2 linked regions of the Notamacropus eugenii genome follow. The protein of the gene in region 1 purifies or fractionates together with the protein of each later gene. This does not show direct contact. Links are inferred from orthologs where the notes say so. Each region holds a gene or a part of one and is shown on either strand. Other genes may lie near its edges.

What was found.
Region 2: the proteins of SWSAP1 (region 1) and SPIDR purify together in Homo sapiens (co-immunoprecipitation; 3 studies listed by BioGRID and IntAct, with this or other methods). This does not show direct contact. The link is inferred for Notamacropus eugenii from reciprocal best matches to the Homo sapiens genes SWSAP1 and SPIDR.

What each region holds. Positions count from the first base shown.
Region 1 is NC_092875.1:78,506,741-78,519,139, reverse strand, and holds the start of SWSAP1 (ATPase SWSAP1), read left to right. Parts: upstream 1-6,007; 5' UTR 6,008-6,042; coding exon 6,043-6,291; intron 6,292-11,804; coding exon 11,805-12,323; 3' UTR 12,324-12,399. UniProt on the Homo sapiens protein: ATPase which is preferentially stimulated by single-stranded DNA and is involved in homologous recombination repair (HRR). Has a DNA-binding activity which is independent of its ATPase activity.
Region 2 is NC_092875.1:263,089,960-263,102,956, forward strand, and holds the start of SPIDR (DNA repair-scaffolding protein), read left to right. Parts: upstream 1-8,246; 5' UTR 8,247-8,394; coding exon 8,395-8,442; intron 8,443-8,706; exon of another isoform or gene 8,707-8,862; intron 8,863-12,997. UniProt on the Homo sapiens protein: Plays a role in DNA double-strand break (DBS) repair via homologous recombination (HR).

The sequences.
Region 1 (12,399 bases):
CCTCCCTCTAGGAAAAAAATACTTAAAAAAAAGAATACACAATAAACTCTGCCTAATATTAACCCACATGGAGACTTGGGAAGCCTACTCTCTGAACCAAGTAATGGAGGGACCCTTTTCTTTCCCATTTCAGAGCACACATTAGTTCTGTTCTGTTTCCTGTTGGTTTCCGTGTGATCATGGACAGACTTCTAACTGGGTCATGAAGCTTAACTAAGTGTGCATATGCAAGTTTTGAGCAAAGGAACTCTCATTTCCTTCCCAGATGGCTTTTGAGTGAGGAGGAAGAAATGCTATGGGCCTCTGGGTGGCTGGAGGAGGGGCAGTAGCAGTCACCTGCTATGGCAGATTTCTCTCCCCACCAGACCAACTGCATAGCCATGAACACACAATACCTCCATCTCTTCGATCACTTGTGTTTATTCTTTCCTATTCTAGAAATAATGTACCCTATCCTGGTTGTAAATGACTATTTAGAAACAACAGTGATCAGGTTACATTTCTGTGAGCATCAAAATGTTGGAAAAACCAGCAAAGGCCCCCTCAATGACAGGAACCAGGAGTAGACACATCTCTCTCTGGTGAGGAATACCCTGAAAAAAAGTCCTGCTAGACCCAGAAACTAAAGGGATGCACATCAACTGGGGAATGGTCAAACAAATTATGGGATATTGCTGTGCCATAAGAAATGATGAGATGGACAGTCTCAGTGGAAACTGGGAAGCCTTTTAGGAACTGATGTGAACACAACTAGAAGAGCAGTTATACAATGCCAGTAGCACTAGAGAAAAATGTCTTTGAATGACTTGAACACTCTGATCTATGCAGTTATAAACCATGAGTCCAGAAGACGAAGATGAAACACACCAACTACCTCCTGCCAGACAGGAAACATATTTGCCAGGCATGGCCAATGTGGGAAGCTATTTTGCTGGTCTATCCATATCTGTTATGAGGATTTTCTTTCTCAAAATTGTTCAATGTGGGGGCCCCCAAGGAAAATATTTGTACAAAATAAATATTGTTTTTATTTTTTTGTATAGCAATGGAAAGCTTCGATCTATTTTTAATTAATTTATTTTTAGTTTTTAACATGAACTTAAATAAATTTAAAATTTTCTCCGCCTCCCTCTCCTCGCCCCTTCCCAACACAGCATACATTCTGATATAGACTCTCTATATATATTCTTATTAAACATATTTTCAGATTAGTCATGTTGATTAGAAGAATGAGAATGAATGGAAGGAATTATGAAAAAGAAAAAACAAAACAAAACAAAAAAAGAGAGGAAATAGTATGCTTCAATCTGTATTCAGACTTCACAGTTCTTTCTCTGGAAATGGATAGCATTTTTCATCATGAGTCTTTTGGAGTTACTTTAGGTCCTTGCATTGCTTGAGAAGAGCTAAGTCTATCAAAGTCAATCACTGCACACTGTGGCTGTTACTGCGTACAATGTTCTCCTGGTCCTGCTCATTTCACTAAGCATCAGTTCATATAAGTCTTTTTTAGTTTTTCTGAAGTCTGCCTATTCATTATTTCTTACAGCACAATATATTCCATTACGTTCATATATCATAACTTGTTCAATCATTCCCTAAGTGATGGGCATCCCCTTAATTTCCAGTTCTTGGCCACCACAAACATAGCTGCTATAAATATTTTTGTAGATGAATAAATACTTTAAAAAGTGAAAAGTCCTACTAGATCAACATGACCTCTGACAACTGCCATTTATGGTAATGCCTACCTCAAGGCGATTCAGTTCTATATTTCCATCTCTCTTGGATGCCTGAAGATCTAGGGGGTAAAAATAGGAAGGAAAACAGCTACAGTCCCAAGTAGAAAGCTGCCTCACATATGCACTAAACACTGAATAATTTTAGTGGGGAAGGCCATAACAAGTGTGTGAGAGGAGTGGGAGGAATCAAGACAGACTTCTAGTAGCAGGAGGCACTTGAGCAGAAATTTGAAAGAAACCAGAGATTCCAGAGGTTGGGGTGTGAGGGGAGCGCATTCCAGGCACCAGGGGACAGCTTGTACAAAGCCACAGTTGCTAGAGATGGAATGTTTTGCATGACAAAAAGCACGTAAGTCAGTTTGGCTGGAATGTAGAGTGTGTGAGGTGTAGTAAGGTGAAATTAGCCTGGAGATAAAGATTATGAAGAGTTTTAAATGCCAACCAGAAGAGTGTGTATTTTCTTAGAGGTAGTAAGAAGCGTCTGAATCTTCTTGAATAGGAGAGTGACATGTTCATGTCACTAGGAATATTCATTGAGAAGTTGTTTAGAGGTTTGGGCTGGAAAGGAGAGATAATAGAGAGATCAGTTAGGAGGATACTTCAATAATCTAGGCCAAAGGTGATGAAGACCTGAATTGGGGGCGAGGGGTGGCTGAGATTTTGTGGAAACTGACTAGAAATGGAGATGTAAGGGAGAGTAAAGAACTGGAAATGATTCTGAAACTTTAGTCACCTGGGTGATTAGAAGGAATGAATGCATGAATGAATGAAGGAATGAAGTGCTGATTATGTGCAGAGCACTGAACTAAATGTGAGGAATACAAATGTCGCAGCGTTTGCTCTCAAAGACCGCACCTTCTAAATGGGAGAGATGTACACACGGAAGGTTTTAGCTGTAAGTTGGTGTACTAGCAAGCACCCAAGCATACCCAGGATGGCCTGCTAGCACAGGTTCTTTGATCTGCTTTTCTGAAAGAAAGATAACTTCAGAGGGGGTCAACGATCTTACTTTAATTACAGATAAGTAGAAAATACAAGCAGAGAAATGAACACAGAGATTTAACAGACAGGGCTCCAACTGTCTGAACAAAGTAATACAAGTACCTACATATGCCATCAGAGCAGGAGAGCACAAACATTTGAGTAGTGGGGATGGGGGATGGGGAGGAGACTCTTAACAAATCAGAGTCCTGTCCAGGGAATCAAAAGATCCTTCTCATAAGCAAACTCCCAAAGCAAAATCTCAACTCAGAATATATACATATATACACAGACACTTTTGGCTAATAGGCTCAGAACCAGAAGGCATCACAACCCTTGTGACTCAATGCCTAATTAGCTTAGTACCAAAAGGTGTGAAAGCCTTCCTGAAAACAAGCCTCCCCTAAGCAAGCTCTTCCTTAGGCAAGTTCCTCCCCCAGTGGGCTCTATGTGACTCAAGTTTATCACAGCTGGCTGGAGCTCAAAGCTGTAAGATTTCCCTGATTACATAGGTCTATTAATGGATGGGGAAGATCTTCACATTCCATTAACATTACAGTTGGATAGAAAGGTCTATGTCCTTAGGATACAGCAGCAAAGCAGGTGGTAATCACTCTTTTTAAATGTCATTTCCAGTGATAAAATCATATCAGATTCTGATATTGAACCATCTGATAGTACCAAAGACTTGGGTGACAAGAACTTTCTTTTCTGTGTCTTCTGTGGGTAGTACCCACGTATCCCAAGATAATGACTAAAAGCCCTTGCCTGGAAGAATTGCCATTCCTAAAGCTCTGGGATTCAGGGTTCTGGGCTGTTTCCATCAGGATTGGAGGGGATATGGTGGTTACGGTAGAGGTAGTTTGCCCCACCTGGCATATGCTGCCTCTTATCTCTCCCCAAGGGTGCACTGCTACTTCAGCTAGACTGGCTTGCTTGCCCAGTGAGTGACAATTGGTTGACAATTAATAAGGATGCCTGGCTCCTTCTCCACAGGAGTTGCCTCCCCAAATGATGGCTGGTCTGAAAGCAGACCTAATAATCAGGAAGGGTGGTGCCTCTCCCAGGGTTCCTGATCTTCCAGCTGACTGGAAGGATGGTCATACCCTTGGGAGAAATAGGGAAGTTAGGAAGAGGGGTGAGTTTGAAAGGGAAGATAATGAGCTCCATTTTAGACATGTTAAGTTTGAGATTTCTATGAAACATTTAGTTGCAGATGTCCAACATTCATCTGATGAATGTAAGCCTGGAACTCGAGAAATGAAGGCTTGATATATAGACCTGAGAGTCATCTACATAGAGATGATCGTTAAACCCATGGAAGTTGATGAACTTGCCAAAGGAGAAAGAGGGGAGAAAAAAAGAAGAGGGCCCAAGATATGGTCTTGAGGGTAAATGCACAATTAGGGGATGTGACATAGATCAACAACAGAGATTGAAAACAAACAATTACATAGTTAAAAGAAAAAGTTGTTGTTTTTCAGTCATGTCTGACTCTTCACGACCCCATCTGGGGTTTTCTTGGCAAAGATACTAGACTGGTTTGCCATTTCCTTCTTTCAGGTCATTTAATAGATGAGGAAATTGAGGCAAAGAGGGTTAAGTAACTTGCCCAAGGTTACACAACTAGTGTCAGATTTGAACTCATTAAAATGAGTCTTCCTAACTCCAGGCTCAGTGTTCTATCCACTTCACCCTAAAAAAGGAGAATGGGATCACAAAAATCCAGGAGAGAGAGAATCCTGGAGGACAAAACTGCTAACAGCATCAAACATAGCAGAGAAGTCAAGAGGAATGAGGACTGAGAAAAAAGTTAATACGTTGGCAATTAAGAAAACATTGGTTACCTTGGAGAGAGCAATTTCCACTGAATGATGCTGTTGGAAGTGGTTGAGAGGAAAGTGGGGAAAAGTAACATTGCTTTTCCTAGGAGTTTCACTATGAAAAGGAGACATATACATGAGATTCTTGGACTGTTTTTTGGAGTGAATACCTGATTAGCCCACCAAGCGTCCCTCTCCTTGAGCCACTGACCCTCAGTTCTTCTCTGGGTCTTACATAGTATAGCATCCCCAAAGGCTGAAGCATCTCCATTGACCCATAGCAGGTATTAGACTGCTCTTCACATACCAACCAAATTACATGCTAGCACTGGCTAAAGACTAGAAATTTAACCAGGGGATGACACGGAATACTGCTCAAAATGATTAAAAAGCAAGAAATCTCTCATTCTAGTGTGCCTGTTTTACAACTAGAATCTTCTCTCTGCCCTGCCCCCCACCCTCCACCCCCATGTTCACATGGCATAAGCCAGGGGTGGGGAACCTGCAGCCTCAACAAGGTTCTGGATATACATTCAACATACTGTGGCTACATCGCTTATTTTTTAAAAGTGAAAAGAAAAATGTGTTTCCTACATGGTGACTTCTGCTTCCAGCAATCTCCCCAAACTTCTCCTTCTTGTCTTTCCCGTTTCTTTGTGTACAGTCAGGGATTCCTGAACTTCACTGGCCCAAAACCATAGAAAGGGAGTAAGGTGGGAGAGGCATGTGTTTGTATAAACAAGAGATGCCTCCCTCCTGGCTCGCCACTCTGTCCTGGGATCTCAGGGAAGCAAAGGCTTCAGGTACTTGCAGCCGTCTGTCTTTTTTACCCTTTGGTCTAAGCTTCTGCTGACAGGAACTTTAGTGATATGAGATACTTGTTGAATAAAGCTCCTTGTGCATAGGAATCTTTTCCGTGTTTGTCCTCCTATCTCCAGGGCCCTAACACAGCGCTTTCGAGGAGCAGGTACTTAGTAAATTCTTAACTGAGAAACAAACTGGGAGATGTGGTAGAGAGAAAAGATGGAGATTAAATGGACTGCAGAATGCAAGATCAATCAATCAACATTTACTAACCATCTACTACGTGCTAGGCACTGTGCTAGGGATACATACAGGGGCAAAAGAGTCCCTGCCCTCAGACAACATGCAGATACATACAAAGCAAGTTATATGCAGGAAAAATGGGAATATTTAACTGAGGAAAGGCACTGGAGAAGAGACAAAGGAAGGAAAAAGAAAAAGAAGACGTGAGGCTCGGTGATCTAGGAGGGCGCAGTAGGGGGTGCCCTGGAAGACCTTGCCCCCCATTGCAGTCGAGCCTGGGAAGACCACGTGGAGGGACCGCCCATTGGGAGCGTTCGCCCGGCCCCTCCGGCGAGCTACCGAAGTGAACTGAGCCTAGCCAATGGACCGTTTTCAAGGGGGAGGGATTAGCGCAGAGCAGCGCTCTGATTGGCCGCGTGTGCAGCGCAGAGGGAGGGCTGAGAGCGGGCATGGAGGCTCTGAGGGCGCTGCTGAGTCCGGGCGCAGGGGTCGGCGGAGAAGGTTGCGCCGCTGGGAAGGGTACCGGCCTTCTGCTGCTCGGGGAGCCGGGCTCCGGCAAGACGGCGTTGCTGTTCGCGGCTGCCCTGGTGGCAGCGGGGGAGGGTCGGGGCCCAGTGCTGTTTGTGGCTCGCAAGGCCCTCCAGAGCCTCCCTCCAGGATGGAAGGCCGGAGCTGCTAGGGACCCGCTGAGGCTCCAGGTAACTGATAGGCGGAGCTCCAGGGGGCTGGGCCATCTGCGGGGCGGGACTCTGGAGGGGGAGGAGCTCTGTGGTGAGGAGGCGGAGCCATCTGTGGAGCGGAGCTCTGGAAGGGGCGGGGCTCTGGGATGGAGTCACCCACCATCTCTTAAGTGCCCAGGGTGTGTCAGGCGCGGTGCTAGTTGTTGTGGATACAAAAACAGAAAAACCCAGCCCTTGCCTTCCAAGAGAGGCAGATCCCTACGTAACACATGCAGGACAAACACAAAAGAAATACCAGGCAGGTGGTGGGCGCTGAGACTTGTAGGAGTATGTAGGCTGGAGATGAGTCTCGATGAAGGTCCGGGAATCTCCGAGGCAGAGATGCGGAGCAAGTGCACTCCATACATGGAGGTGCAGCCATTGCAAAGACACAGGGACACATTGTGTGAGCAGCAGCAGGAGGAGCCTGGTTGGATGGGAACAGTGTATAGTGGGGCTGGAAAAATAGGTTGGGACTAGGTTGTGAAGGGCCGAACAGAGCAGTTTGTGTTTTTATTCTAGAGGCAATAAGGAGCCACTGGATTTTAATGAGTTGGGGAATAATAATATGGGCGTTTGGCAACTTTGTGGGGGACAGATTTAAAGTGGGGAGGGACTTGAAGCCTCAAACGCAGTCAGAAAAGGAGCAGACACTGGTCATAGTCTCCCTACTTAATTCTCCCCCTGCCCTGAGGCTGGCAGATTGCTACCTCCTGCTCCACTAATCCCTATGTTTCATAGTTTCTACCTGCCTTGGGGGAAATCTCTTTCCCCTGGTGTCCCCCTGAATGCTCATCCCTATACAACTCAGCCCAATTTCTTTCCCTCCTCTGCTTTTCCCTTCCACTGTGCTCTGTAGAATGTCCACTCATTTTGTTAACAAACTCCTCCTCTTTCCCTCCTATTCTTTCTACCTTCAGGTAGTAACTCAAGCCTTGCTTTATCCTGAGGGCAGCATATGTCTTGTGACCATCTCCAGTCTTGGCCAATGTCTCATGCCTCTTGATACTCGGGGCCAGGAGTCATGCACTTTGAGACTCTCTCTCTGCACCAGTTCTCAGCGACCTTTCCATTTTAAATTTCCATCATCCGGACGCTATCCAGGTGTTTGTTGCTGTTATGTGCTGAGCTCCAGATCACGTTTTTTCCTTCCTCCAGGAGTTGAGGACTTGGCTCATGGTTCATGCCAACAAACTTTATAATGTCCTGGTCTCCCAGTTCATTAATCTTTTCAACTCCCATCAACTCTGACTGTACTCTGTCAAACTATAGGGGTGCTGACAACTTAGATTTCACCCTCACCTAAAACTTTTCCGTTTCCATGATTTTGGTGTATTGGAAAGATTGCTGAATTTGGAGTTAAGGGACATAGGTACTTCTGTACCTGACACTGGTACTTCTCTGTTACCTTTAACAAACAAATCACTTCATAACTCTGGACCTCAATTTCCCCATGTAAAAAATGAGGTTAGATGAGATGATCCATTTGCTCTAAAATCTGCAATCCTTTGATTTTAAGGACTTGATAACCTCTAAGGTCCCTCCCAACCTATTCTTCCTTCCTACCCTGCTCTGTACCTCTTCACCCCACCCTACGTCCATCTTGTCTACTCTGATCTGATCTCGCTCTTCCCTTCTCGCTTTTCAGCCATTTCATTTGTCTTCAACCTAAGCTTTATTTTGGAGATTTGCCTGGAGTAAAACTCTGGGATAGGGGCAAAACAAGCCAGAAAGATAAGATACCACTTTGGGGTTAGACTTTCCCCCGAAGGATGTCACCCAGGCCTTGCGACCTAGGGATTTTAGGGGAGGGTTCTGGTCTGTGGTCACACTTGAGAGCTCAGCTCAAGAGCTGCGTCTTCCTGAGCCTTCCGTCAAATTAAAAAGTTACCTTGTAATTATCTTATGTTTTGTATTGATTTCTCTATATCTGTTTTTTTCCTCCTAGTAGCATGTAAAGATATTAAAGATAGGGACTCTAGTTTTAGTCTCTGTACCCCTATCCTCTAGCACAGTACCTGATTGGTTGATCTTTGATCTTTCCTTATCCACTGACTTCTTCCCTGCAGTCTATAGATAGGCCAGTATCTCCTCTATCCTTAAAAAACCTTCTCATGACCCTGCCATCTGCTCAAATTATTATCCTCTATCTATATTCCCTTTGACTTGATCAAACAGACTCCTAGAAAGGGCATTCTGCACCAGAGGTGTCAAATTCATGGCCTACAAACCTCCCCAGTGGGGGCTGAACATTGATTAAAATGTAGCTGGCAAAGGTTTAACAAAATAAAGCTTAAAATACAACATAATGTGAATTTGTGGTTTTCCAAGTTGACATGCAGTGTTGAGTTTAACCCTGCTAGTCTACAGCCCTTGCCTTCATTTCTTTCCCCGATTTCCAACACCTCCTGGCCTAGTTTTCAGCCCAAACACTTGAATGACACTGCTCTCCCAAAAATGTGATGAACCCTTTTTTTCTTAAGAAAAAAATATTCTGAATGTAACAAACACCAAACAAAATGGGTGTGTCTGTTCTTGTATTTGAACTCAATTTGAGTTCAATTTGAATTTGAACTCAGGTCTTCCTGACTTCAGGCCCAACACTGTCCACTTCCACACATAATGATATACTTGCAAAGTTGATTTTTTTTTAACCCAAGACTCCATGTTCATATCTATCAAATTTCATCATATTAAGATTTAGCTCAACAGTCTAGCTAGTTGAATCTTTTTGGATCCCAACTTTGTCATTCAATGCCTTAACTATCGCTCCTGGCCTTGTATCCTGTGTAAATTCAGTAAGAATTTACTGAATTGCCTTTATCCAAATCATTGATTAAAAAGTTAAATAGCACATATTCCTGGGTTACTTAGAAGAAACCTTGACCCTCTACTTAACCTGTTCTACCAAACAATGCCCTCTAACCTTGAGTCACTTTCATGCTGACTTTCTCAACTGACCCATCCTCCCTCAAGACCATTCTCACCATCTGCCTTCTCAGGTCGGATTGGGATTGCCGAGCCAATGAATGCTGACACTATCTTTGCTGGGTCCTCCAGAGATCTGTATTCTCTAACTTCAGCTGGATCCTCCCTGCTGCATGACAGTCAGTCCTTTTAGACTGACCACATTCCCCATGGAGGCTGGTCCAGACTTCTTTCAGCAAGTCCCTAGCCCTATCCACATGATCTGGCCTCCCTCTTTGATTAATGTCACCTATTGTTCCTCCACACCTGGAAACCTTTTTCTGTCTCCCCAACATCTGTTCTTTGTGTTTCAGTCACAGAAAGATGTGACCCTTTCCTTGTTATGACTGACCAGTCCCTCTCCTTGTACCTTTGATTACATCCCCCACCATCTTTGTTGAAAGAGGAGCCTTCTCTTTCTTTCACTGTCAGCCTCTCCCTATCATACCTACAGTCATGCTCAGGTCACCCTTAGCCTTAAACGTCCTTCTTGACCCTCCCATCCCCTTGAGAGATTATTTCTCTGCTCCTTCACTGCTGAACTCCTAGAAAGAATCATGTACATTCACTTCATTTCCTTACTCCCCATTTACTCCTCAACCCCTCATAACCTTGGCTTCTAACTATTCTACTTGAGAAACCTTCTCTCTTGAAGGTGACAGGTCAAATCTTAACAGGTCAATGGCATGGTCTGTTCTCAGCCCTCGCCCTCCCTGACCTTTCTATAACAATGGACATTATTTTCCACCCCTCCCACCAGTGTGTTCTCATGGTCACTCTCGTGACTCTGCTGCTCCGTCTTTTTTCCTGCTCATTTATCTCCTCCCCTCCTCCCCCCCTTCCCTCCCCCAGTACTGGCTCCCCTCTGGCTCCCCTTTCCTTCTCCCTTGACAGACATCTGTGCCCATAAGTTTAATGATTGTTTCTGTGTAGAAGGCCCTCAAATCGAGATATCCTAATCTCTGGATTCACTCCCACATCCCCAACTGCCTTCAGGACACGTCTATCTGAACATCCACGAATGTTTCAGGCTCAGCCTGTCCTAAACGGACTTCATTATCTCCTCCATAAACCTGCCCCACCTCCCAATTTCCCTGCTTCAGTTGCTGCCAGCACCACCATCCTTTCCAGTCACCTTTTCCCAAAACCTTGGAGTCACCTTTGGCCCTTCCTTCTCCTGCAGCCAGTCAGTTACTAAATCCTGTCAGTGTGACTCTCGAATCCATCCCCTTCCCTCCACTCACAGTCACCACCCCAGTGCAACCTCTGCCCCCATATCCCTTCTCACCTGGAATATTGCCCCTGGATTGTGCACCGTGGCCAAAGTCATCTTCTTTGTCAATTCACTGCTCTCTCTGAAGGAGAGAAGCCTTGGCCAGGCTTCAAATGACCCTTCTAGCCATGTGTGATATTGGTCTTATCTGCTTACACCCCTCCCCCATCACAAAGTAGACCACTGACTGCCCATTCCTCTGACTGGACAGGCTGTTGCCCAAGATCTGGACATTTTTGTGGTCTAGCCACCTTTCCTGAAAGGTATCTCCCCCTCATCTTCCCTGGGGCCTTTCTCCATTGTCCTAGAGTAGCCCACCCCCACTCTTCACCTCCAAAGTGGAAGTTACAAAATGTTAACTTCTCTCCAACTTTCTGTCTTTTTTCCTCTTCCCATTCTAAGTTGAATTAGACACCATCTGTGGACAGGTCTCAGTGTCCCAAGTAGAATGTAAGCCCTCTTCAGGCACTCCCTGCCATTTTTTTCTTTGTATCCTCAGTGCCTACTCCCATGATTTGCACATAGTAGGTGCTTAACTAATGTTGTGGAATTGAATTGATTGAATGAAATATACATATGATGACTAATATGTGTGTATGGTAAAGGATGGCATCCAGGATGAGACCAGCTCAACTTGTGAGCATATAGGACATATCCTTGTGGCTGGAGGCAAGGAATTGGGCAGGGTTTTGTGATCTCTGCCATGAAGAATGGGTAGGGTTCGGATTAGTTTGAGGAAAGATGAAAGAAGTTTCTCGTTGAAGGCCTAGGATGAGTCTGAATTTGTGGGATGTGTGAGGTGACTAGGCTGAAAGGGAGGGGAGGACAGGTTAATTATTGCAGGGCTTTGAATGCCAAGTCAAGCAGTTTGAGCTTGGCTCGTTAGGAGATCAGGGGTCATTGGAAGCTCTGTAGTCCGAACTCCCTTGCAGTTTGGACATTTGGGATTTTTTTCTCTCTGGCTTACTCCAGTTATTTTCTAAGGGTGGGCTCAGCGGGAGCTTCCCTGAGGCAGCTAACTGGTGCAAGACCTTGGAGTAAAGAAGACCTGAGGTGCCATCCTGACTTGGACTCACTAGCCAGATGACCAAGCCACGGGGTCATCCTTGCCCATGGAGATGATAACATCACTCGCCTCCCAGGGTAGTTGTGAGGATCCGGGAGATCACCTGTGTACAAGGTTTGGCAGACCTTAAAGTACTGCATAAAGACTAGTTCTTACTATCTTGTCCCTTTTGTCTCTTTCTTTTAGAAAATCCACTTCCTGTATCCACCATCCTTGAGGGAGCTGCTGCAGCTTCTTAGTTCTGTGCATGAGACAGCAGCCCAGCCTCCCTCCCTCCTGCTGCTGGACGGGATAGATGAGTACTTGGCAGACACTTCTGGAGTCCAGGCGTGTGCCCACCTGGCAGCCCTGCTGGTGGACACAGCCGCCCACTTCTCAGGCTGCTCAGGCAGTGTCTGTGGACTCTTGGTCACAATGAGAAGCCCTGCTGAGGCTGAGCCAGAGGCAGCTTCCCTCCAGCTGGCAGTGCTCCAGAGATACTTGCCCACGTGCCTCTGGCTAGAGCCCGAGCCCCCAGACCCGGCAGGGGCACGGCCCCAGGACTCCGAGCAGTGCTTCAGGGCCCACCTCTCCAGTGGGTTAGGCTTCCCCAAGCAGGAATGGTGCTTGAGTTTTGGACATGATGGTGAGATGGCCATTTCCCAAGTAACCCACTCAGCATGCCAGCACCTACCTCAGAAAACCAAGCCCAGCAGCCCCAGCTAAGAACCTTGGTCTGGGGATGGGGACAGCCTTCATGGGACCTTGTCTCTCCCCAGCCACATTGCCTTTGTATCTGAGA
Region 2 (12,997 bases), about 180 Mb from region 1:
TTCACATTGGCCAAGGAACATCTTTTGAAGCAAGTCTTAAGTAGCTTACATGCCTTTCTATATATGTTCTAGTTCCTGATTAAATAACAATCTCAAGTTATTGCTCTAATAGATTTATATCTTTTCCCCAAACTACTTTATCCCTTTCTAACCCTGCTCAATCTAAAAGAATGAGCTACACATGTGATAAGTTCAAACACTAACTTGAATTTTTATGTTCATGTAATGAATTCAAATCAAAACAATCATTTAACTTTCAATGCCAAATATTATCAGAGTCTACCTACCTCTAAGAATATTAGACTGAAATTCTTTTCCCCAAACTGAAGATGTCTCTGATTTAGTCTCAGCAATTAATTCAGTCAATTGTTTTAATACTAATTGCTTTTACATCATTTTGTAACCTGTAAAGATCTCATTCCAAGTTGGGACCTTTGTCCATCACCCCAAAAGAGTTTTAGTCTCATTTGTCTAAAGGCCCTGAAAAACCTCACCTTGAAAACTCCTTGTTTTTTTTTTTCCCATGTGAACTGGCTCTCACCATGCCCAAGTCTATTCTACTTCCCACTCTTAATTCTATCAGTCCAAATCTCCAGTTTACTGGCCACTCCCATCAAGACCATTCCTGGAGCTCCCAGACCACCTGGGGCCACTCCTTTTTTTTTTTTTTTTGTAAGGGATTCCTTTCCCTGAATCCTTCTGTAAATAAAACACAATTACAGTTAACTTTAAATCCCAATCTTGTTCTATGGAACAATGATACAACATCTATTTATTCCCATTAGATTTAGAAAGAATGTTCCCAAGGATTTTATTTCCATCTCAGATCTTAAATTTGCCCTAAAAAGCCAATCACTGAAGATCATTTCTTATACATTTTCAAATTCTCACCAAAGCAAGTTCTATATACAATCTCCTCAGCTTCTGGGGCTGCACTTATTACTAGCCTGAGGACTGCTTCTTTTCCCACATATACACACAGTGTACCAGCTTTAGGTTTTAGCATTAGAATTACAAATGGCAAACATAATTTTTCATAAGTGATAACAAATTGTTTTAGCTATGAACCCGGACAATAAATTTCAGATGACATCAACTGCATTTTCATATCCTATTAGAGAAATTAAATTCTTCCCACTTTTGTAACTTACAAATACAAATTGGATAGGTAGGCCTTCCAAAAACCATACAAAAGATTTTACAAAGTATTTCTTAATACAACAAATATTTCCTCTCTTACGAACAGTTTACAATTTATCACAATCCCCTTGAAAGTAACTGACAGAAATCACAAGAAAAGACCTAAACCCAAAGCCTTTTCACATTTGTCCATAAACTTTCTTTTACCAGCATAACTTTAGAGTAAATGCTTGATTCATGGCAAAAACAATTTTAGCTAAAATTTCCTTTTCAACAGCAGAAATAAACTTTTAACATAATACATCCTCAGATGGAACAGGCTTGAAAATCACACCTATATATATATATATATATATATATACATGTACATTTTTAAAGCGTTCTGATTTTCTTAATAAGAATGCTACAACAAGGAAACTCTTACAAAAAAAATTCATAACAGCTCTTTTTAACCAATTCATTAATTAACTTAACAATGTAATTCCTAATACAATATTTAGATGGATTACCTAAAAATTTAAACTTAATTTAAGTTTACTTACAACTTAAAAGAAGCCATTAACCTATTCAGCTCTTTTCATAACCAAATATAAGTTTCAAATTATCAAATTTCTATCATATCCTTTTAAAACCCCAATCTATATGTAATAAATTACAAATTTAAAATCGTGTAACAATTACATTAGATTAACGTTGCATCTAACAAATACCTATCCTTTTGTTACTGGATCAAACATTTTTGGCAGAAATGCCACTGGGTGTCTCTGCCCTCCTCTTATTTGTGTCAGGATTCCCAAGGCCACCCCCTTCTGGCACTCTCACTCTGCAAAGAAAAAGAAAAACCTAAACTTATTATTATTTTTTTACTTTAAATACATTGTCTGGCATCAAATATATTGATCTAATTAAACCTAAATTCAAAACTCTCAGCTCTAAGTTGCTTACTTGAGATTTTTTTACTTTCTAATCTTCTGCTTACTTCCACTAAACTTTAATAAATTTTAACCTATCTTAAACATTAAATTAAGAATGACACATTTCACCTATTCACAATTCCAAATACAACCAGAATGAATTCAATTAACTTTCTATTATTTCCCATCACACTAAAATTTCTTCTTTTGGGTGAGGCAGGAAATGGTTAAATGCTTGCTAGCATGCCTCTTCGGTCTGAGGGAAAAAGATAAATTCCCTCCCTCCCTTTTGTACTTCTTTCAAGCCTTCTGATTACACAGGTGGTGCCAGACGTCTCTCTGAAAAGCCTGCTCCTCTCATCATCTCTACCTGCTTAAATTCTCTTGCCTTTCCCTCAAGCCCCTTTGAAACTACACATAACTTATTTCTTTCTGCTACTAACCTGACATTTCTCCTACATTCTTTTACTTGCTGTTACCAACCATATAAACTGAACAGTAAAATAATTTTTTTTTTCTCCCTTTCTCTCCCTCCTTGTCCCTCTGCCCCTCTGAAACTGCTCTGGAGGGGTTGAAGAAGAGGAGTAACAGGAATTTCAAGGATAGTTCAGCTCAGCCTTTCTGCTCCTGCTGGCTGGATGGCTAAATTTACAACCTTATCAGATAAAAAAAAAAAAACAAAACAGAGACACACAGACTTTCATTCACAAAGAAGTACCCACACAACATATACAGACAAAACATTTAATAGAATAGAATAGGTTTAAATTTTTGGCAAACCCAGTCCTCGGAGGAACCATATTTGGGCCAGATTGTGCCTCCTCCTCCGATGTCTTTTCACCCCATATGAAATAACAACACTTAATCATCTTCTTCTTGTCCTTTCCTCTATAATTTGGTAATTCGTGACAATTCTGTGTGTGAGATGGCTCAGGTCCCTACTTAAATTAATTACTCAGAGGGCTCTCAAAGTGATGACAGAAAGTTTATTTACTAGATTCTCGAGAATCGGGACGATCCTACACCAGTTCACCTGGAGTAGGAAAGACAAAGACAAAGAAAAGGCAGTGATTTATATAGACCCTAACACAAGTCCCTCCTCCCCCGCTGACCATTATCCTCATTAGTTGAGAATATGATCTTACATTCTAGACATGAAATCTAACCAATCCCTTTTGAAATGAAGACATCGAGGAATTATGTTTTATCCAATCATTGAGACCCTAATACACTACACAGTTTTATATCCTTATATGGAACTATTCTATTCTAAAAATATTGCAACCTTGAGCCTCTAGATCTTACCTCACCCCTGGGAGAAGAATTACAATCTGAGAAGTCTTCACTAAACCTATCCCACTCACTGTAATTGATTTCCCAAAGGACTATTTACCGGTATTTCCTGACTCCATTCCAAAGCTTGGTGGGGTTTGGACTGCCTCTTCCCCATTTTTTTGGACGAGGGTTGTCACCAACACCTCCGAGTCTATGACTCAACGAATTTTGCCAGCTCTCATCAGGGGTCGCCCACCCACCAGCAGTCATCTGGCAAATGTTTTTTGGGGGGGCCCTTCACTCTGGGGTCTTGCAGTCCACTAATTTGGTTGGGAGTCATCACCTTCTCCCCGAGTCTATCTAAGACTCAACGAATTGACCCCCGGCCCCCCCACCCCCCCGCACTTACTGCCGGGTCATACCATACAAGTTGCCTGACTGCAACCTTCAACAGCAATCAGTTGGCATTTTCACACACTTCACAGGTTCAGAGTCTTTGGAGTCCTTATCTCTATTCTTTCTGTTCTCACTGAGTTCCTCTGCTTCAGGTCGTTATTTTGCAGAGAGGGAGGCCTGGCGACCCCATTTCAAGGACCATGGGGGGGTGGAATCTCCTCCACAGGTGCACCAGTCCTTGAAACTGAGGTGCCAGCCGTCTCTCTGAAAAGCCGCAGATCCCAGACGAGCCCCCAAACTGTGTGGGATGGCTCAGATCCCTACTTAAATCAATTACTCGGAGGCCTCTCAAAGTGGTGACAGAAAGTTTATTTATTAGATTTTCGAGAATTGGGCAATTCCTCTACCAGGAAAAAGCCGAAGACAAAGAAAAGGCAGTGATTTATATAGACCCTAATGCAAGTCCCACCCCCACCCCCCCTCCACTGACCATTATCCTCATTAGCTGAGAATATGATCTTACATTCTAGACACGAAATCTAACCAATCCCTTTTGAAATGAAGACATTGAAGAATTAGGTTAACTTTATCCAATCATTGAGATCCTATTGTACTACACAGTTTTATATCCTTATATGGAATTATTCTGTTCTAAAAATATAGTAATCTTGAGCCTCTCAGTCTTACCTCACCCCTGGGAGAAGAATTACAATCTGAGAAGTCTTCACTAAACCTATTCCACTCATTTCCTTTTAGAAAGAAATATTTTAATAGTCTTTCTATCATTATTTTATTGTTGTCCTTGGTGGCTACATTTGTTAACCTTTCTTGTATTTCTGTTTCTGGGATGTTTAAAAAGAAAATAATTTGTTCACATCTGGTTTTCTTTCTAGTAGTGCTTCAAATATCTCTTTTTAAAATTGGATATCTATCTTTTTTCCATTAATGTTTAGACCCAGAATTGCAGGGTGTCACCTTTGGTTGCATTTTGAGATTCTTTGCTTTTTGGAACACATTATTGCATTCCCCACCTAGGTTTCTGATGGGTGCAGAATAGTTTTATATTATTTAAATTTCCTTCTCTTTATATTTGAAAGTCTCCTGATTGTTTACAAAATTTGTTGTTTTGTAAGTGAAACTGTTAAATTTGATTATTTTACGTATTGTAATTTTTTGCACAGGTTTTTTTTCTCTCTTGGAGGCAATTTGTGGATTATTTTGATTAATACTTTATTTTCTGTGTTCAGAGTTCTGGGCAGATTTCTTAGGGTTTTTTTTTCTTGCATTATGGTGTTCAGGTTGTCCTGTTCTAAGAGACTTTTAATACTTAAGTTGTCTCTCTGCATTCCATCTTTGAGATCAATATGTAGATTATGCTTTCATTTAACATCATTTTTTGCTTTGACTCTTCCAGATTGCCTTTTATTTCTGTGTATTTCCATTCTCCATTAGATATTCTCTCTTTTGTTTCTTGGGTTAGCCTTGCCACTATAAAGTTCTTTCTTGACAATTATTTTGCCTGTGCAGACCATAAATTCTGCTTTCACAATTCTTTTTTCTCTTTTATGTCATTCTGGAACATTCTGCTGTGGTTCCATACTGTCTTAGGATTTTTTGCCTTATTAGGTTTTGATTTTTTTTCCCTTTGTCTTTCAATATTTATTCATAGATGTCTGGACTCTATGTTAGCTGATATTGAGGCCATATTCACTGCTGTTATTAATATGTTTCCTGATGGCTTATCTGTATACATTCAAGGTATTTAATTCAGTTTTCTTCCACTAGAGATCGCTGATAATTTCAGTCTTTTTTCCTTCCATTACTCACTTTCTGACTCCCTACCCTTTGACAACTTGACCTCTAAATTGTCTCCGCCTTCCCTTGTGCAGGGCAATTCAATTCACCAAAAATTTCTTCCCCAAGTGACTTCTAGGATGGGGTATAGTGAGGTAGACCTCACCTCAGCTGTAGGCTGAGCTTTTTACTTTGGGCTTAATGGAGTGCCACTTAGCCACACATACCATTTCCTTCTGGTCCTCAGTTCTTAGGCTGAACTGTTGTAGCACTGCTGAGTTGCTATACCAGAATGAGTGCAAGCTTCTGCCTTATGGTATTTCCTGTGCCTAAAAAGAATGGGATAGAGTTGAGTTCTGCTGCAAGGCCAAGGGTTGGCTTGTGCAGTCCTGCCAGGGGTGGGGTTGGGTGTGTGTGTGTGTGTGTGTGTGTTGTGTGTGTGTGTGTGTGTGTTTAGGGTTTTAGAGTTTAAGCCTTCTCTGCTGTTAGCTCATCAAACTGTTACCTCTTTAGGGTTGGTGGTGTCCTAGACCTTGGAGACAACTGAAACTGATTTATCACTTGCTCATTAGTCCTACTTTGGAAAGATTCAAGTTCTGAGAACTGGAGAAAAAGTCTAATTGTCTAGCTTGTTCAAGTTATATAACCTAATCTGCAGATCTCCAATTTCAGTTTGCTGTTTTGATTTAGATAAAGGAGTTTATTTACTATTTGTGATAATATTTCATGTAACAAGTATTCATTGGGAAGAATCAAGCTGGTTAAGCAGCTTTGGTAACTTCAGGGTTAAACACTCTTAAAAGTGAAGCAACTTTCCTTCTTAACTCAGACTAGCACCCTTAGTCTGAGATATTTGAGGAGAACAAATAGCTGTAATTCTAGTTCAATACTCCTCCCAGAGACTGGAGGAAAGAACAGAGGCCTGTCCATTTACTCTCAGCTAGTGTGCTGGCTAAACAGGCACTGCCATTGACTCTCTTATACTTTGCAGTAGCGGGTCAGGTTTCTGATAATACCTGCCCTTGTTAACTATGACCATGTCTCACGTGGACATAGTTATCTTACATAAAATACTAAACTTTGAATCTTAGGAAGTTTCTTTGTTGTCACCATAATTATTTGAATGAGATCAGCTTAACAACCCATACTTGAAAAATAAATAGGATAGAAAAAAAATTAATATTGCTCATCTTTGGGCTTGTTGCCAGATAGCTTATAAATTTCTATATTTTGGTTGATCACTTCAAATGGACAATGAACCAGAAGTCATTATATTTTGGAGGATCTGATTTTAAATCCTTTAAATTTGACTTTAAACTAGTTGCTGAAACAATATCTCATCTCATCAAAACTAACATTCTCTTGGTGATGATACAGGGCTGCAAATCACAGTCTAAAAAGAAACAAAAGCCTGAGTGATTTAAATGGCAATGACCGGTCACATGGTGAATGCAAAGAGACTGCAATGTATGACCAGTTATGACTCGTGATAGAGTGGCATAAAACACATCATCAAGACATATGTGGCTGAAAAAGGAGGGAGGTTGTGGAAATAACTCAAGAGTGGTAGAAAGTCAGATTGGAAGTGAGAGAACCTGGGTTTAAATCCTGACTCCAGTACGTATGCATGACCCCGGGCAAATCCTGGTGCCTTGGTTTACTTATTTGTAAAATAAGAGGCTTGGATTGGATGGCTTCTAATCTTCCTTTCATCCTAAATCTATGCTCTGAGGATCTTCTGTATCAAGAGAGATGACAGATACACAGCTGAAAAGCCGGACTGGTACCTCTGAGCTTTTAAAGAACCAGAGACAGGCCCTGCAAGACTGGGTCCACTCTAGAGACAGGTGGTATGGAAGAACGTGAACACCAGAGATGGGAAAAGATTTTCTCCTAAATTGGTGGGGGGATTTATTCACATACTGCTAGGCAGATGTCTTACTGATAGCCCTGACTTAACCAACCCATTCTCGACTCTGGTTTTTCCTCAAATTTCAGGGTTTTTGGCAACATTTCAGAGGGTTGGATTTCTTATTTATTTGGCATTCACTAGCCCCTTGTTAAAACCCCTTCTCTACGGAGGGCAGCTAGGCGGTAGAGTGCCAAGAATGCCAGGCTGGTCTTCCCGAGCTCAGTCAGACCCTCGCCAGCTGTGTGACCCTGGGCCAGTCACTTCACCGTGTTTGCCTCAGTTTCCCCGTCTGTCCAATGAGCTGGGGAAAGAAATGACAAGCCGTGCCGGTGCCTGCCAGGAAACCCCCAACAGGGTCGCTGCTGAGCAACACTCTGGCCTCGGGTTTTTGCTCAGATCTGGGGTACCAGGCACTTGGTATTTTCCCTTTTTTATATTCCCAGTGCTTAGCACAGTGCCCATACACAGTAGGAGCTCATTAAATGCTTACTCACTATACGAATGAAGCCAAGGGGGAAAATGCCACATCGACTTTTCCAAAATTCTCCATATTTCCCATCTGGCCTCTTTCCAACTGGTTACACGGCCTCCCTCCGGACGAGGGTCGCGTTGGGATTCAAAGCCGAGTGAGGACCCTCTTCATTAGGAAACACCCCCAAGCCGGCCCTGGAGCCTTGGCGCATGCGCGCAGCCACACTCGGGCCCTCCGGAAGCCCCGCCCCTCTCCTCTAAAGTTCTCTATGGAATGACTTGTCTGGGAGAGAAGGCCCGCCCCACACCCTCATACGAGCCAATCAGAGGGAAGCGGCGCAGCGCGCCAAGCTAGAAAGGGACCGGCGTGGCTGGGCTGGTTCGTGCTCCGCCTTTTGCCTCTCGGTCTTCCGGGGAGTTCATCTCAAATTCCTTTTTCCCCTCAACCCTCCCCCCATCCCCAACCCCGGCGTGAGGGAGGCGCTCGGAGAGATGCCCCGTGGCGGTAGCAGCAGCCGCCTCCGCCGCAGCGACCGGAAGGTACGGTATGGGGGCTGGAGCAGGAGCGAGGGTGGCGCTCCAGCGGCGGGCGACGAACCTGCTGGGCCCGCTTCCAGCTAAGCGCTCCCTCCCTCCCCCTCGGTCATCCTCGCCCACTGAGCCAGAGTTGGCTACCAGTCAGGAGGCGGCACCCTCCGCGTGGCCTGTTCCGGACTCGCGGAGACTACCAGTCCCAGGCTGCCCCGCGGCGGGCGCTGCTCCTCCCAGTCCTCCCATTGGCTCCGCCGGTTGGGGGGGCGGGGAGAACAGTTCCTGCTGGGACTTGTAGCGTTCTGTCTGAGTCCTTAGGGCTGGGCCAGTGCGGGCCGAGGACCCGAGGCGGGAGCATGTGCCCTATTTTCCAGTTTGGAAAGATGTTTGTCTTGCTTCCCGACCAGTCCTGCAGATTCTCAGTCGTTTGTGAGTCCTTTCATTCGACCGTTATTCGTCCTTCACAGTAGCTGTGGCAAAGCTTTCCTACACTCCTAGATCTAGAACTTCCAGTTCAGGTCCTTCCAGGGACTTAGGACGTCAGTACGGACCGAACCCCCTTGTTTTACAGAAGCCCTTAGACCTGCGGGCCTCAAAGTGTGATCCTGGGGGGAGGGCTCCCCCAGACCTTTTCTGAAGGTTTGTGAGGTCAAAGCTCTTTTAAAAATGATTCCAAGACGTTGTAATTTCGAGTAAAATACCAATTGATCTGACCTCCGTAAACAGAAGCTCTTTAGCGTCTTCAATAATTTTTAAGTGTAAAGAGTCCCAGACCTTAGTGTGGGCTCTCCATGTACCCCCACACACGCTTGGATTGTTTTCATCTGGAGCTCCCGGGCGTCCCCAAAGAGGAATCCAAATTCTGCGTGCTTTTCTCCACATCAGAGGTTTTTCCCCTGGGATCCACACAGTTTCTCCCCCACTCCCATGGATAAATTCCAGGGGTTCATAGAATTTGGACTGGAAAAAAAAGGTACACCTTCATTTTGACTAGCTTCTGACATTTAGCATTTCCTTCAGTTTTTAAGAAACATTATTCTATGAAAGGGTCCATAGGCCCCATCAGATTGTCAGAGGGAAAAGGGAAAAGAACTCTTCTCTAAATAGGTTATTACCCAAGAATGGTCCATTAAAGTGGTGTTTTTAGCATCACCCGTTTTGTCGCCAGTGTGTAGGTTGCAGCCTAATCCTTTCAGTCATCTCATTCGTTCTGCATAGTGACTTTTCTAAAGCTTTTCTGTTCTCATAGTTTTTATAGGTTTAGAGCTAGAAGGGACTTCAGAGGTCACATAGCCCAAACCCCCCATCTTACAGAGGAAGAGGAACAGGAAATTGAAAGCCATAGAGCAACAATTTCTTGAAATGTGATCTAGGCATGAGACCTTTTCAGGAGATCTTGAAGATCATGTGAGGTCAAATTATAATATCCACTCCTTGGAGACGAAGGACCTTTACAGTTTAGCTGTGCCACTTATAACCAGGGTGACTTGGATAAAGCATTTTATCTCCTTGGGTCTCAGTTACTCTGTAACAGTCAACAAGCATTTGTTGTTGTTCAGTTGTGTCTGATTCTTCCTGACTCCATATGGGGTTTTATTGGTAAGGATACTGAAGTGGTTTGCCATTTCCTTCTCTATGGAGCTCATTTTATAGATGAGGAAACTGAGGCCAACAGGGTTAAATGACTTGCCTAGAGTAGCACAGGTATTACAGGTTGGAGCATTTTTTAAGTGCCCACTATGTGTCAAGTCCTGTAGCTTTCCTGCTACAAATAGAAAAGCAAAAATAGTCCCTGCTCTCAAGAAGCTAACATTCCAAGGAGGGAGACAGTATGCAAATAACTATTTACATACAACATATAGAGGGTAGGTAGTAATCTTAGAATTAGAGATTAGAGGAGGCCCAGAAAGGTCTGCAGAAAGTGGAAGTTGATCTGATGCTTGAAGGAAACCTTAAATGTGAAGTTGAGTAAATAGAGCTTTCCAGGCAGGGGGACAGCTAGTGAAAAGGCATGGAGTTCAGAGGAACAGGAAGTAAGCCAGTGTTGCTGGATGTTGGATTACATGGAGAGGAGTAAAGTGTAAGAAAATTGGAAAGGGTGGGAAGGGTCCTGTAAAATGAATAGGATGGACTATATTATATCAGGTCCCTTCCAACTTTTTGTTTATATTCCTATGATTTCCAGTGGTCTGTAGGACAGCTCTACTAGATTTTCCACTAAACTTAAACTAATTAAACTTGAATTCATCATATCGCTTCTGTTCTTACTTCCTTCCAAGCTCCTTTTGCTAATTCCTCTATTTTTGTTGAGGTTATATCTGCCTTTTTCCCAGTCACTCAGGTTTGATATCTTACCTTTTTCCTGACTGCACCCTTTTCCCCCTATCCAAACAATCACAAATTGTGTACATTTTCTCCTTTCCCCCATTACTGCCCCTCAAGTTTCTACTCATGACATACCTGGATAATAGCTTCTAAACTATTTTTCCTGTCTCCACTCTGTTCCATACTTTGCCATCCCATTGACATCCTCTAACTGTTTTGATCTTTTCAAGCCCATGTGGAATCCATTTTCCTAGGACTCAGACTTTAACAGGGCATTCAAAGCCCCACCACAGTTTGATCTTAACCTACCTTTCTAATATGTCTCCAATTATTCCCCCAACCAAAGTACTCTATATACCTTCTTTGCATTTCTTGTCTTTTCTGACGTTATTCTTTCCATCTAGAATATTCTCCTTTTTGCTCTCTGTTTTGAGTTCCTAACCTATCCTTTTAGGCCCATATCAGATTTCATTTGTTTCATGTCTTTATCACTTCAAACACCTGAATTTCTATAGCACTTTGTTTATATCATTTTCATCTCATTTGTCACGTTATAGTTGTATTTGAGTTCTTTATATACTCCCCTAACTATCAGGACAAATTAATACATCTTTTTATTTCTCCTGCCTCTTAGCACAGTACCCTATACATAATTGGAGCTTAGTAAATATTTTTTGGATGAAAGAAAAGGAAACTTTTTGGAAATTATAAGGCATCATGGAAAAAACGTTTTAGTAAGTATCAGGAGACTTCAATTTTAGTTTGAGTTGCTCTGTGACCTGACATTCCTGGGCATCTGTGACTCAGTGATAAAGAGGAGAAAGGTGATAGGGGCCTAAAATAAGGTGGTGAAATAGGGAGTACAGAGAATAGACTTAATAGGGAAAATTATGAATGTAAACAAGCACATTATGAGCGTGTACCTTTGCTCAACTAACACTTGGGGGAATGATGGTTATGGAAAAAAACTTTAAAAAATGTCTCTGTTGTACAAATGCAAGAGATTATTTGGATGAGAAGGAAACTATACATATTTTGTTCAGAGATTGAATCTGAGCTTAGTTTTGGAATTCATTGATAGCAATGTATATTAAGTTGTCATTATCTTAATTGTTTTTATTGTAAACTGTATCAACAAAAGCAAATAAGTTCAACAAAGAATAAATTAATGTTTAAATGATATTCCATACTATTTGTGTTTTTTTCTGAAAAGAAAACAGCTTTATAAATTTTAACAAGATAATAATTATATTTTATTTTTTCTATGTCCCCTCTAAATTTTTCTCTCTGTATGATTCTTAGATTTCCTTGCTGTTGTTTTATATATATCTGTAATCAATGTATGTAGTTTTATTTTATTGTCTAAAGTTTGTATTACTCATTATCATAGAATCCAAGCTAGAAGGAACCTTAAAGGTCACTAATTTCAGTATCCTCATTTTACAAATAAAAGGAAACAGATCTAGAGAGTTTCTGTGCCTTGTCTCATAGGTAGCACTATCGCTTGGATGTAATTCATCTCTCTGCAAATTCACCCAGGGGTGTTGTGACTCTCCAGTGAAGTAATGGAGGGAAAGCACTTTAAAAACCTTAGAGGGATATGATAAATGCAAATTGTTGCTGTTATTATCATTAACCTTCATTCACCAGAGCTCCAGTGTGCTCATAACTTCATTTCTTGAACTTTCTGCTGCTCTCCTGTCAAGCTCAAACGTTTCTAGAGCGATTGTGGGATGTACTGGCTAGTATTTACCAGTTGGGCTGTCTAGCTATCTACACTTTTAAGTTTAATCTGCATTATTAACACTGGACAATCAGTGAAACAAATCAAACCCTGATTTTTAGCTCATTTTTTATTTCTGAGGTATAAATGCTCACAATGAAATGGAAACTTGGCCAAGCTAGCTCCCCCACTTTTCTTACCCTACCATACTCATTTTTCTTTGTGTTCTTCATAATTATTTTTATGGCACAATTATATTACACTTATATATATACTTATATATTATATATATATATATATATATATATAATAAGTGTATATATATATATATATAAGTGTATATATATATATACACTTATATATTACACTTATATCAACATTTATTTGGCTGTTTTCTACTTGTTAGACATAGAGCTTGCTTATTGCTATTACTAACAAAAGTGCGATGAATATTTTTATACCAGTAGGTCTTCTTTTCACCTTTTAGTAACATCCTTAGAGCATATCTGTATCTAC